Linked DNA regions of Macaca fascicularis. The protein of the gene in region 2 interacts with the protein of the main gene of each other region in a pairwise test. Links are inferred from orthologs where the notes say so. Each region holds a gene or a part of one and is shown on either strand. Other genes may lie near its edges.

Region 1 (6,505 bases), on a different chromosome or scaffold from region 2:
AAAAAAACCAAGCCAGGATTAAATCTAGTTCTTGAAAAGTCACTCAAAAACTATGCCCTGATATTTTGATTCTGAGACTGTTCTGCTGCTGGGAATAAAAAGATAAACAAGACAGAGCCTGCTTTTGAGATGCTGTTGGTCTCTGGGGGGAAGATTCCAGGAATAAGAAAGGAAAGCAGTGGTGAAGTGCTGTCTATTAGAGGCAAGCACAGAGTTCTTTTTTTTTTTTTTTTTTTTTTTTTAGATGGAGTCTCGCTCTGTGGCCCAGGCTAGAGCGCAGTGGCGCGATCTCGGCTCACCGCAAGCTCTGCCTCCCGGGTTCATGCCATTCTCCTACCTCAGCCTCCCAAGTAGCTGGGACTATAGGTGTCTGCCACCACGCCCGGCTAATTTTTTTTGTATTTTTAGTAGAGACGGGGTTTCAGTGTTAGCCAGGATGGTCTCGATCTCCTGCTCTTGTGATCCACCCGCCTCAGCCTCCCAAAGTGCTGGGATTACAGGCGTGAGCCACCGCGCCCGGCTGCCAAGCACAAAGTTCTATAGGAACACCAGGAGAGAACAAACTGGGGGTGGGATTGAGGAATGTGGAACAGAGGAAGTGACATCTGAGGTAGGTTTTGAGGGAATATGAGTAGTCAGCTAGATGGAAAAAAGGAGAAAGTTGGTAGCTATTATTATTTGTTTCAGTGACAGGTGTAGTGATGAGAGATGATGGGGTCATGAAGAGGGGGAGCCCACCAGAGCCCAGGGCTTGAAATCTGATTGTAGTGTGCATAAAGGACTAGGTGTTAGGAGGGAAGCTTCTTCAAGAGAAGGCTCCTCACCTGCTCCGCACCTGAGCAGGCTCCACATCAAAGTACGGTCTGAGGATGTCGATGTTGGCGTACAAGCTGAAGGCCCTGGAGGCTTGTCTCTTCCCGGCCTGCCACATCTGAAGTAAGGAAGATGGGCATAGGTATTGTGGGACTGTTGGTTCTAGACCCTGTTGCCTATTTTCCGCTTGATTTCTACATGGTTCTAACTGGACAACCTGGGGCAAACATCACCAACACCAACTCCAGAACATGGGACATACCTAGGTATACCTTTCCACCTGCAGAAGATTCAATCATGCTTACCTGATCTGCCACCTGCCGGCTCAGCTGTCCCTTAAAGCCTTTCATGCCCAGGAACTCTCCATCCTCTTCTTCAGCAGCAGCTGCATCAGCTGCATCAGCGTCTACTTCTTCCTCGCGCAGGCGCTGATGCAGCTCACCCATATCCTCGAAGCTAGAGCCTGAGGTATCATCCATGTTCTCCATGTCAATCACAGCTGAGCCTCCGCCCTGTGAAGACAATGGCTCCTAGAGTGCAGGACTTTTCTGTTCCATCCATTAAGTCCTCTGCTCATCCCAGGGTTTAGGGCTTTGTTCTTCCACTGCTGAGGATACGGCTCGGAATCACTACAGATCATGCCACTCCATTCCCCCTCATATGCTCTCAGAACTCTTGGTTTCTAGCTTTGGCTGAATTTTCTAGCCTGGGAAACATACTACTAGTCTTCCATTCCTGTCTTTTTCCTACCTTACCTACCAAAGACTAAAAGGCTGAAAAAGTGCCCATTTCCTTCTTTCCTAAGCCCCAAACAAAACTATACACATAATATGTTTTCAGCGAATGCCAGTGAATCCCCACCCAACCCCACTCCATGCCTGACCCCGACCAACTTCCTAACTTGTTCCAAGAATACCTTCTTCCTAATGCCTCGAGCGGGCCCAGAGACCCGAGACCCTCAGGCTGGAGTACTAGTCTGGCCCTTTCAGGTCAATGTTAATCCTACTGACTTTAGTGTGCACGAAGACCCAAAGAAGAGAGTTTTGCAAATGGAGCGGACTTCCAGGCCCACAGGGAGAATCCTCAAGACACTTCTGGACATCGCTGGCCCTCGGGTTGCTGGCAGCTAGTGCCTTGGGGCCATTACCTGGATGTTTTCTTCGAACCCTCCCCATTCCGGGCCAGCTCCATTTCGGGCGCCGCCCGCCGGCGCCGCTGTAGTTGCCATGTCCCTTGAAGGCTCCCGTCGCTGAAGCCCGCGCTAGCCCCGCGCGCGGAGGAGTGGGCGAGACGTGGGCCTTAGTGAGGGAGACGTCCCGGGTCGAGGAGAGGTGGGATCGGCCGGAACACAAAAAAGAGAAGCCCGGATGTTTGGACAAAACCAACTTCCGGAGGCTGGGGACGTGGACGGAAGCGGGGAAAAGTCTCGCGATATTTAAGATTCCAGGCGGTGGCGCGTTGCCACGGAGACGGAGCCAGTCTACTAGGACGCACGCGCCAGATAGAGCCTCCAGTCTCGTGGAGAGATTGAAGATGGCGGCTTCTCAGGCGGTGGAGGAGATGCGGGGCCGCGTGGTTCTAGGGGAGTTTGGGGTTCGCAATGTAAGCCTTGTGGCCTTGAGCTCGGGCGGGAGGAATGAGAGCGGAACAGGGGTGGGTCTTGGGATTGGCGTGGGGATAGCCGTGGGCTCATTGTCCCTTTGTGGACAAACTCGTCCCTTTGCTCTAGGTCCATACCACTGACTTTCCCGGAAACTATTCCGGTTATGATGATGCCTGGGACCAGGACCGCTTCGAGAAGGTAAGTGGGGCCGAAGTTGTCTGGGGAGGGTTATGAAGGCCAGACCCTGTGGCCTGAGCAGCCTGTGTCTGTCTCAGCAGCTGCTTTTGGGGGTCGCTCCGTTTGTGTTTGTTGAGCAATGTGCTAGACGCTCCGTTTACAGGCCAAATTAGACACGGTTTCTATCTCTGCAGAGATATTCCGTCTTGTTGAGGAATGGTGCGTATAAACAAGTGCATCTAGTGTAATATGGTGAAGGTGGTTGATAGCGATGAAGACGGCAGGGTTGGGGTGGGGAGCATTCCGCTGAGACCAGGAAGAGGGGCCGAGAGGTACTTAACATTTCAAGAGGAGGGGACACCTGAATTGAACCTTGAATGGTAAGTAAAAAAAAAAACAGGAGTTGAATTATGAAAGATTTGAGTTTCACGTCAGTGAAGTTCAGGATATGCAGGTTTTGTGTGTATTTAGTCTTTTGTATTATTGTTTCACTTAGCTTAAAATAAGGGTTAAAATTGCATTTAAATAGATTACTGAATGTTACCCTTTATGCAACTGACCTAAATGTTACCCTTTATGCAGCTTATAAACATGATGTGTAAATCAGTGCCTGGGAAAATTTTACTTTTTTAACCTGTTGATACAAGGAATAAAGTATGAACAATGAAAAAGGCTAATGCTTGAAAAAAAATTATGACTTCTGTGACATGTGCTCCGGGAATGTCCAAGTAGTTCTGGCATGAGTGGTCGGCAAGATTGAAGTGTGTCACACTGTGGATGATAGGGAGCTTGAATAGTTTCTTAAGCAGACATGATCAGATTTGCAACCTTGATGGCTGGGAGGGAATGAGTTTGAGGAGGATCATATGGAGCAGGCAGATCTGTCGTAAGGGAAGCTGAGGTTGAAGATATGAACTAAGACTGATGGTAGAAATAGAGCAAAGGAAGAATATAAGGTAAATTTATGATTGCTTGGATAAAGGCTGTGGGGGTAGCATAAAATGACTTTTTCTGGCTTGGGAACTGCTTTTTGCTTTGTGGTATCATTTACTAAGAGGAGAAATGGGTCTGGGGAACAGGGATGATGATGCATTGTTTTCTGTATGTGGGGAAATCTAGCAGGCTAGAAGACTGCATGCTTGAAATGAGATCAGAAGTGAGATAAAATTTTGGGAGTTGTCAGAACAGATAGTTGCTAAAACTGTTAGTACAGTTAAGGTGACCTGGGAGAGAGACAAGAACCTGGCAAATTTAGAGATGGGTGGAAGTTGATCATCAGAGATGGAAGAAGAGTGGAGCTCAGAAACCAGGGGAATCGTTCAAAAAAGGGGATTTTTTTTTTTTTTTTCCTTTTCATGAGACACTCTTATCTCCCAGGCTGGAGTGCAGTGGTGCAATCTTGGCTCACTGCAACCTCCGCCTCCTGGGTTCAGGCAGTTCTCCTGCCTCAGCCTCCCGAGTAGCTGGGACTACAGCTACGCGCCACCATGCCCAGCTAATTTTTTGAATTTTTAGTAGAGACGGGGTTTCACCATGCTGGCCAGGCTGGTCTCAAACTCCTGACCTTGTGATCCGCCCCTCGGCCTCCCATAGTGCTGGGATTACAGGTGTGAGTCACCGTGCTGGGCCCAGAGGAGGTTTTTTAATCAATGTCAAGCATAACAGAAGTCTAGTAAGAGGACTGGGTAGTGTCAACAGGACTAAGCACTATGGTAGTTTCTGTTCTTTAGTGGAATAGCTTCTGTGGATGGTTTGGTTGGAAGCCATATTGCATAGGGTTTTAATGAATGGACGACAAAAATGGAGACTTTTTATGAAACTAAAGCACTGGGCGAGAAAGAATATTTAATAAGGGACATCTGGGCAAAGGGAGGTTTTTGGATGAGAGGATAATACTTGAGGGAATTATCTAAGGGGGAGGTATGAAGAGATATTACAGAGAGAGCAGGTTTCACTTAAATGTTTTTCCTGTCCCTCTAGAATTTCCGTGTGGATGTAGTACACATGGATGAAAACTCACTGGAGTTCGACATGGTGGGAATTGACGCAGCCATTGCCAATGCTTTTCGACGAATTCTGTTAGCTGAGGTATTGGCAGGCATGGTGACAAGGCTGGAGTTGCTTTGGGAACTGCACTGACACCTCACTTGGAGAATTGTCTCAAGCTGTCCTTCCCTCATTTTTCCTGGAATTTTGCTGAGCATTTTACCTTCTCATTCTTTGTAAATTTCTCATTAAACATTCTAGGAAGAGAGATAGCTCCTTACCTCTGGAGGGTGGGGTTGTGGGGATAGGTAGGGGGTCTGTTGGGTTTTTGCAGATAAGTGGTTATTTTTCCTTGGGCAGGTGCCAACTATGGCTGTGGAGAAGGTCCTGGTGTACAATAATACATCCATTGTTCAGGATGAGATCCTTGCTCACCGTCTGGGGCTCATTCCCATTCATGCTGATCCCCGTCTTTTTGAGTATCGGAATCAAGGTAAGAAAATGAAATTTTGGGAGAAGTGGACTGTCTGGGTTCAAATCCTGGTTGACTGTGATGTTGGGTAAGTTACTTATGTTTGTACATCAGTGTTTTTCATCTGTGAGAACACTTGCCTTGGCTTCCCAAGTTTGCCGTAATTAAATGGGACACATATGTAAAGCATTCAGCATAGTGCTGGCACTCAGATGTTTACTAGTTCTTTTTTTTTTTTTCTTTTTTTTTTTTTGAGACGGAGTCTCGCTGTGTCGCCCAGGCTGGAGTGCAGTGGCCGGATCTCAGCTCACTGCAAGCTCTGCCTCCCGGGTTTTTACGCCATTCTCCTGCCTCAGCCTCCCGAGTAGCCGGGACTACAGGCGCCCGCCACCTCGCCCGGCTAGTTTTTGTATTTTTTAGTAGAGACGGGGTTTCACGGTGTTAGCCAGGATGGTCTCGAACTCCTGACCTCGTGATCTGCCCGTCTCGGCCTCCCAAAGTGCTGGGATTACAGGCTTGAGCCACCGCGCCCGGCCAGATGTTTACTAGTTCTTAAGAGCTCCCTCCATTTGTGCAGGAGATGAAGACGGCACAGAGATAGATACCCTACGGTTTCGTCTCCAAGTCAGATGCACTCGGAACCCCCATGCTGCTAAAGATTCCTCTGACCCCAACGAACTGTATGTGAACCACAAAGGTAAGTAGTGGTAGGGTGAGGAAGAGGCCCCACCTGTGGGTGGCTGCTAGTTTTAGGAACTGAAATCTTTTGACATGTTTTTCCTCCAGTGTATACCAGGCATATGACATGGATCCCCCTGGGGAATCAGGCTGATCTTTTCCCAGAGGGCACTATCCGACCAGTGCACGATGACATCCTCATTGCTCAGCTGCGGCCTGGCCAAGAAATTGACCTGCTTATGCACTGTGTCAAGGGCATTGGTGAGAACCCTGTGTTCCTTCCTGGGAAGAGGGGTAGTTTGGTTGCAGTGGGGCAAGCTGACTAGGGAACTCAGCTGAGATATTCCTAGCAGGTAGAAAGCCAAGAGCATCGTGCTTTTGCTGTTAGCAGCTTAGGAAGAGTATTCTTCCTAATCCTAGAAGGGTTTCGTATAGGCACTTTCTCTCTTCCTCTCCAGGCAAAGATCATGCCAAGTTTTCACCAGTGGCAACAGCCAGTTATAGGCTCCTGCCAGACATCACCCTGCTTGAGCCCGTGGAAGGGGAGGCAGCTGAGGAGTTGAGCAGGTGCTTCTCACCTGGTGTTATTGAGGTGCAGGAAGTCCAAGGTATGGTATTTGGGGTGCTGTTCAGGTTAGGACCTAAATTATATTTTCTTTGAAGGTGACAGAAATAAAAACCCTGGGTTCCTAAAAGTATAACATGGTTTGCTACCAAGGGGCAAATTAGAAAAAAGAATAAAAAAACGTGGTTTGTTCTCATTAGGTAAAAAGGTG
Region 2 (5,725 bases):
GGGTCCACTTTCCAGCTGGCAGTTTCTATTGCCAGGGGCCTCATGATTTGTGTCTGACACTTCCTCACCAAGCTGCAGGTGGCCATGGCAGAGGGGCTCCAGAGGTACCTGGCTAAGCCTGGAAAGCAGAAGATCCTAAAGAGGGTTCTCTGTTCTGTGTCGCGCAGGACAAGAAGGACTCCTACCAGCCTGTGTGCAACATCCCCATCATCACATCCCTGAAGGAGGAGGAGCGGCTCATCGAATCCTCCACCAAGGTACCGGGACCTCTGAGGGCTGCGGGCTGCGGGCTGGGGATGCCAGGCCCCCGGCCTGGCCCTCACTCTGAACTCCTTCACAGCCCGTGGTGAAGCTGCTGTACAACAGAAGCAACAACAAGTATTCCTACACCAGGTAGGGTGCGTCACAGGGCTGAGCAGCCAGAGCAGACACTGGGCAGCAGACCCAATGCATGCTGCCTGCACTCCCAGCATGGTCGGCGTGGGTCTGGGCCTGGGTCTTGGAACTAGCTGTGCTAAGTGGGGGAAGAACAGAAAGTAGAAGGGAAATTGGGACAGAGGCCTTTGGAACTCGGCAGGGTGCCCTGGCTGGGATATAAATGATTGAAGGTGAAATGCGCCCTCAACGTGTATCACGAAGGCAGCATGTCAGGTGTTTTCACACATGTCATCCTACCAGGTGAAGGGGATGCTAGGAGGCCAGTGAGCTGGGAGTCCCCCGAGTCAGCCTGTGCGGTTCACACTGGGCTGATTCTCTCCCCACACCCTCCAGCCCATGTCCTATCCATAGGCCACAGTTAGGTAGACTCAGGTGGCTGCAGGTTCAGAGTCCCAAACCCTCCCTATGCTTCCCTGTGGACAGGCACATTGCCACTGTCACCCCCACAGTAAGGGAGGGAATGCCTCCCACTGAAATAGCAGCGTTGTCTCCTTCCTTCCCCGTTAGTGAGGGGAGACCTGCTCCCTCAGTTGTCCCTACTTTGACTTAAAACCAACTCAGTTCCTTTTCCTTACAGGCCCCCTAACCCAGAGGGTACCCTATGATCCTTTCTCTCCTGGCCCCCTGGCATCTTGCTTTCATTTCAGCAGGACAGGACAGGGGAAGGGAGGGAGGGGAGGGCTCCACTTGTCTAGCACACTCCCTTGGAATGGAACCTCATTCCCAGGCCTCTTGGCCCTCATGGGTTTTTCAGCAACTCTGATGACCACCTGCTGAAAAACATCGAGCTATTTGACAAGCTCTCCCTGCGCTTCAACGGCCGCGTGCTCTTCATCAAGGATGTCATTGGCGACGAGATCTGCTGTTGGTCCTTCTATGGCCAGGGCCGTAAGCTGGCAGAGGTGTGCTGTACCTCCATCGTGTATGCCACAGAGAAGAAGCAGACCAAGGTGTGGGGGATTCCCCCTGCATGGGTCAGGGAGGACACACACCCACTGTAGGAGGGTGTTGTTGGGGTGTGACTAGCACGGAGCAAAAGGGGCGTGCACTTGGCTCTTTTTTCCAAACATGGTAATGGTGCTGGGCAAGGACAAAGCCAGAACAAGGGGGTGTGGGGAATGGAAGGGAACCGCTTTGTTCCTGACAGCTCAGGGCAGGGGCCGTTGACCAGCAGGAAGCGGCTTAGTACAGTGGGAAGGACTGGGTCTTTGAAGTTGGCCCAATTCAGGTTTGAACGCTGGCTCCACCACTTGCCAGTTTTCTGACTTTGGATAAGCCACTTAAGCCATCTGGGCCTCAGGTTCCTTATTTGCAGACATGGGGATGATGGTATGACAAGATACGAAAATGATACAACTTTTTGGAGTGGAAGTATGGTGTAGAAATAGCTTGGGCTTTCATGTTGGAATGCTGTTCAGATCTCCTATCTGAGCCAGGGACAGAGGCGGGCACAACACTTGAGCCCAGGAGTTTAAGACCACCCTGGACAACATGGTGAAACCCCGTCTTTACAAAAAATAGAAAAATTAGCCAGGCATCGTGGCACACGCCTGTAGTCCCGGCTACTCAGGAGGCTGCAGTGGGAAGATCCCTTGAGCCCAGGAGTTTCCAAACACTCTTAATAATAATAAAATAAAATCTCCTCACTGGCCCCCACTAGCTGGGGGTTTCTGGCTAATCAACTTAGTGCCAGGTACACATCAGGCATTTGATAGGTGACAGTCATCACAAACTCAGCTGGCCCCTCTCCCCCAGCTGCAGTCAGTTACCCCAGAAAGGAGCTGCCTCCTGTGAGTGCAGGTCCTGGAGATGATCTGCTAGGGTGGATGGCAGGTCATCCAGGAAGGGCCATGTAGGTGTGAAGAGCTCAAAGTAGCCAGACTTGCCAAGCAACCTGTCGACCCCTAAACTACTCAAGTGCCTCCGGCTGGGAGATCTGCAGAGGGTTTGGGGAAGGCCAGCTTACAGGTGACCCTGCTTCCTCCTGCAGTTTTTGGTGTAGGGGTGGGAGGGAAGGTGACAGTGTGGGTGGCTCCTGACCCTATCGGTGGCGAAAGGGTTCAGGGGCAGGTCTCTAGTGGCTGGTGACGCTGCGGTGGAAGTGGCAGCAGCACCTGGCATCTTCCTAAGTGTGTTCTCTTTCATGAACTCTTGTGACCTCTCACAATACACCTGTGAGACACACAGGGCTAGAGCCACTCTCCCCATGTGACAGATGAGAGAACAGAAGCTCAGTCCAACAGAGCAGGTCAGGCTAGAATTCAGGTGCTTGACTGCATTCCCTTTCTCTCCTCCGGGCAGGTCATGCCGGTGACACACTGGGTCGGGCAGGCAGGGAAAGGCAGCGGAACCACTCAGCATAGCAGCTGCTCTTTGTATGTCTCTGCTTGGTGGTTTGCTATGTGCCAGGCTTCTGCTAAGCAATCACATCTTTCCTGTAATGTTGACAGGAACTCTCAGGGGTTGATCTAAACCATCCTTTTGTACATAAGGGAGCTACCGCCCAGAAGGGTTCAGCCCAAGGCTCCACAGCTAGCAAGTGGTGGAGCTGTGTTTGGACCTAGGCCTGGCCCACCCTCTATGCCCACTAGTCCCTTGGTCTCAGGCTGGGGCAGGGGTGCGGAGGGTGTTGGTCTTCCCTGTCCTCATGTCTATAGAGTACACTCCCTCACCCCGCCTTAGGAGGGAGGCTGGCTCTCCCTGGAGACGGACCGCCACCTGTCTTATGAGGTAGCAGAGGCCTTATGGAGCCTCAGGGCCAGCAGCTCTGACACACAGCTCCCTCTCCAAGATGAAACATTGCTCCGTCTTCATCCTCCCTCACCCCAGGTGGAATTCCCAGAGGCCCGAATCTATGAGGAGACACTCAACGTTTTACTCTATGAGACTCCCCGCGTTCCCGACAACTCCTTGTTGGAGGCTACAAGCCGTAGCCGCAGCCAGGCTTCCCCCAGTGAAGACGAGGAGACCTTTGAACTGCGGGACCGTGTCCGCCGCATCCACGTCAAGCGCTACAGCACTTACGATGACCGGCAGCTCGGCCACCAGTCTACTCATCGTGACTGACCAGACCCTCAGAAAGTCAGGGCACGGGAGGCCCTATCTCCCGTCCTGTGGAACCTGCCCTATTGGCCACCCCATGCTGCTGCTGGCTGGGTCTCTGCTCCAGCACCCAGAGGCATGACAGACCCTGCTCGGAGGTCAGAGGGTCTGGGCAGAGGAGGGACCACATTCCTCTGCCTTGCCCCCGAGCACTTATGGAGACTGAGTCCTGTCCTATCTGCTCACCATCACCCTTCCTGTCTGACAGGGAGCTGCTTCTGCTCCCTGGGGCAAATGGGCTGACCCACCTCCTGCCGAGAACCTTCCCCTAGGCACTCTGTGGAAGGGCTACTGCCCCTTAGGCCTCAGCTGAGGCCCATGGGGAATGGGTTCATTCTGGGGAAAAGGCCGCTCCTGGTGTTGTAGAGGCCCAGTTTTATAATGGAAGGTGGGATGTCTTTTTTCCTAAGGTGTTTAAGCACAAGGCTTGGTAAGTTTGGTTTTTAAAAAATAATCTAGGAAATGAATAGTTCTAAATCTAGTAACGAGGAAACTGGGCATTTCTTTTGCCCTCCAGGGTGCCAAGACCCTACATATGGCAGAACCCTTGGCCCTTCTCCATGCCTGTGGGATCTGTTTCTTTAAAGCACTTTGTACTGTTATTCAGGAGGTTGATATTCTCCCTGACCCATGTCTTTCTACCCTAATCCCTGCTTCCCTGCAGAATAGAGGATAAAGAGGGGATAATGAGGAAGCAATAAAAAAACATCCAACAAAGCAGCTGTGGCTTTGCCAGCCTGGCCAGCAGCTCAGAGTGCACCGAGGAGGGAAGGATGGCTAAGCTGGGACCTGCAGTCCTCACAGGGTGCCTGTGAGAAAGGACATTTTACCTCCCCATCTTAGAGTCACATCACTGGCTCCTAGGTCTAGCATGACTGCTCTTTGTGGTTCTCTTGAGTACCCCTGGCTTCCAGCCATGCTGTCCTCACATACGGTAAAGCCAAAGAGCTGTCACAGGGGCCAGAAACATGAGCCACGGCAGGAAGACCGTGGAGCCTGTGGGTACTGCATGGTGTTGGCTGGCATGCCCATCACCTGAGGACAGCAAACTCAGAGCCCGGTGCTCCCAGCAGCCCCTGCACAGAGGTAGCCCATGCTTGGCCACACATCTACCCCCTGCCCACACCACCTGTGGTCTTGGTTTGTCCTGGCTGGGATAGTGGTTCTGCCCAGTGGTGTCTCTGAGTGCAGGATGACAGGAGCAACTGAAGCACCCTGAAGGCTTTCACTCCTTGTTGGGTAACTCAGCCATGGAGATGCCAAGAACTAGCCAGGAGGTAAGTTCCTCTTTAGGGCTTTGGTTTTCATTCCTTTTTGTTTGGCTTGGCCAAACCAGAATTCAGCTTATCTGAATTATTTTCCAAAGGAATGGTATCAGGGAGGGACTGTTCTGCCAGCCTAACAAAGCAACGTAGCCACATACTGTACCCACTTTCCGCTCTTTGGAGAGAACACAGGTTATCAAGTTTATCCCTCTTAACTACTTTTATGATAGCTGATGCCACAGAGCCTATGGGCAAATGCCAGACCCAGGGTTAGACACAAGGACCTGAAGTGACATGACGGCGGGACAAGGGAAATGTGACTTTCTAATTAGGCATTTTATGTTAGTCACAGTCTTGAATGTATAAATAGCACTAAGACTCTCAGGTCAGGTACCTTGGTGGTCAGCTACTAGTTCTTCCAGCCCTCATTGAGGTTAACAAGATAAAGACAAATCCATTTCTTTGGCCAAATTCAGGCTTTGGCTTTGTGACTTTCCCACAGACTGGAATGCGTCGGCCTGAGACCACTGGCCTATTTTCTCAGCTGCCCTCTTGAGGTCCTTTAATACTCAAATTCCCAGCTCCCCACTGAGGTGTTTTGATGCTTGCCTTTTGACCTCCCCATCCCCTTTAGTCCCTGCTTACTGCTTTGACGTTCACATCCTCAGTGTCTCGGTCTTTCTTGCCGAGAAAGCACAGTAGTCTGGGACTGGGCATTTATCTTCTCTGACTGAAAATATCTCCTTGGTCTTAAGGAAAATACTAACATTGAACTCACTGACATGATCTTAGCTTCTTAAATCAGACTTTGTGGCTTAAAAGTTTGGGGGTTTTCTTTGAAAGTTTCCAGCCCTATTCAGAAAGCAACTCTTGGCTGTGTGCATTTTTCAACTCCAAGCAGCCCAAGGGTAAGTAAACAA

What was found. The genes of interacting proteins can lie anywhere in the genome.
Region 1: the proteins of TNFAIP1 (region 2) and POLR1C interact in binary tests that used the Homo sapiens proteins (3 or more experiments, as listed by UniProt). The link is inferred for Macaca fascicularis from reciprocal best matches to the Homo sapiens genes TNFAIP1 and POLR1C.

The regions. Positions count from the first base shown.
Region 1 is NC_088378.1:128,002,432-128,008,936, reverse strand, and holds the start of POLR1C (DNA-directed RNA polymerases I and III subunit RPAC1), read left to right. Parts: upstream 1-2,325; 5' UTR 2,326-2,346; coding exon 2,347-2,415; intron 2,416-2,542; coding exon 2,543-2,614; intron 2,615-4,573; coding exon 4,574-4,681; intron 4,682-4,939; coding exon 4,940-5,072; intron 5,073-5,628; coding exon 5,629-5,748; intron 5,749-5,837; coding exon 5,838-5,990; intron 5,991-6,187; coding exon 6,188-6,337; intron 6,338-6,494; coding exon 6,495-6,505. Other genes in the region: protein YIPF3, read right to left, coding at 825-931, 1,119-1,325, 1,961-2,041. UniProt on the Homo sapiens protein: DNA-dependent RNA polymerase catalyzes the transcription of DNA into RNA using the four ribonucleoside triphosphates as substrates.
Region 2 is NC_088390.1:33,803,653-33,809,377, forward strand, and holds part of TNFAIP1 (BTB/POZ domain-containing adapter for CUL3-mediated RhoA degradation protein 2), read left to right. Parts: intron 1-167; coding exon 168-257; intron 258-340; coding exon 341-393; intron 394-1,192; coding exon 1,193-1,388; intron 1,389-3,267; coding exon 3,268-3,504; 3' UTR 3,505-5,725. UniProt on the Homo sapiens protein: Substrate-specific adapter of a BCR (BTB-CUL3-RBX1) E3 ubiquitin-protein ligase complex involved in regulation of cytoskeleton structure.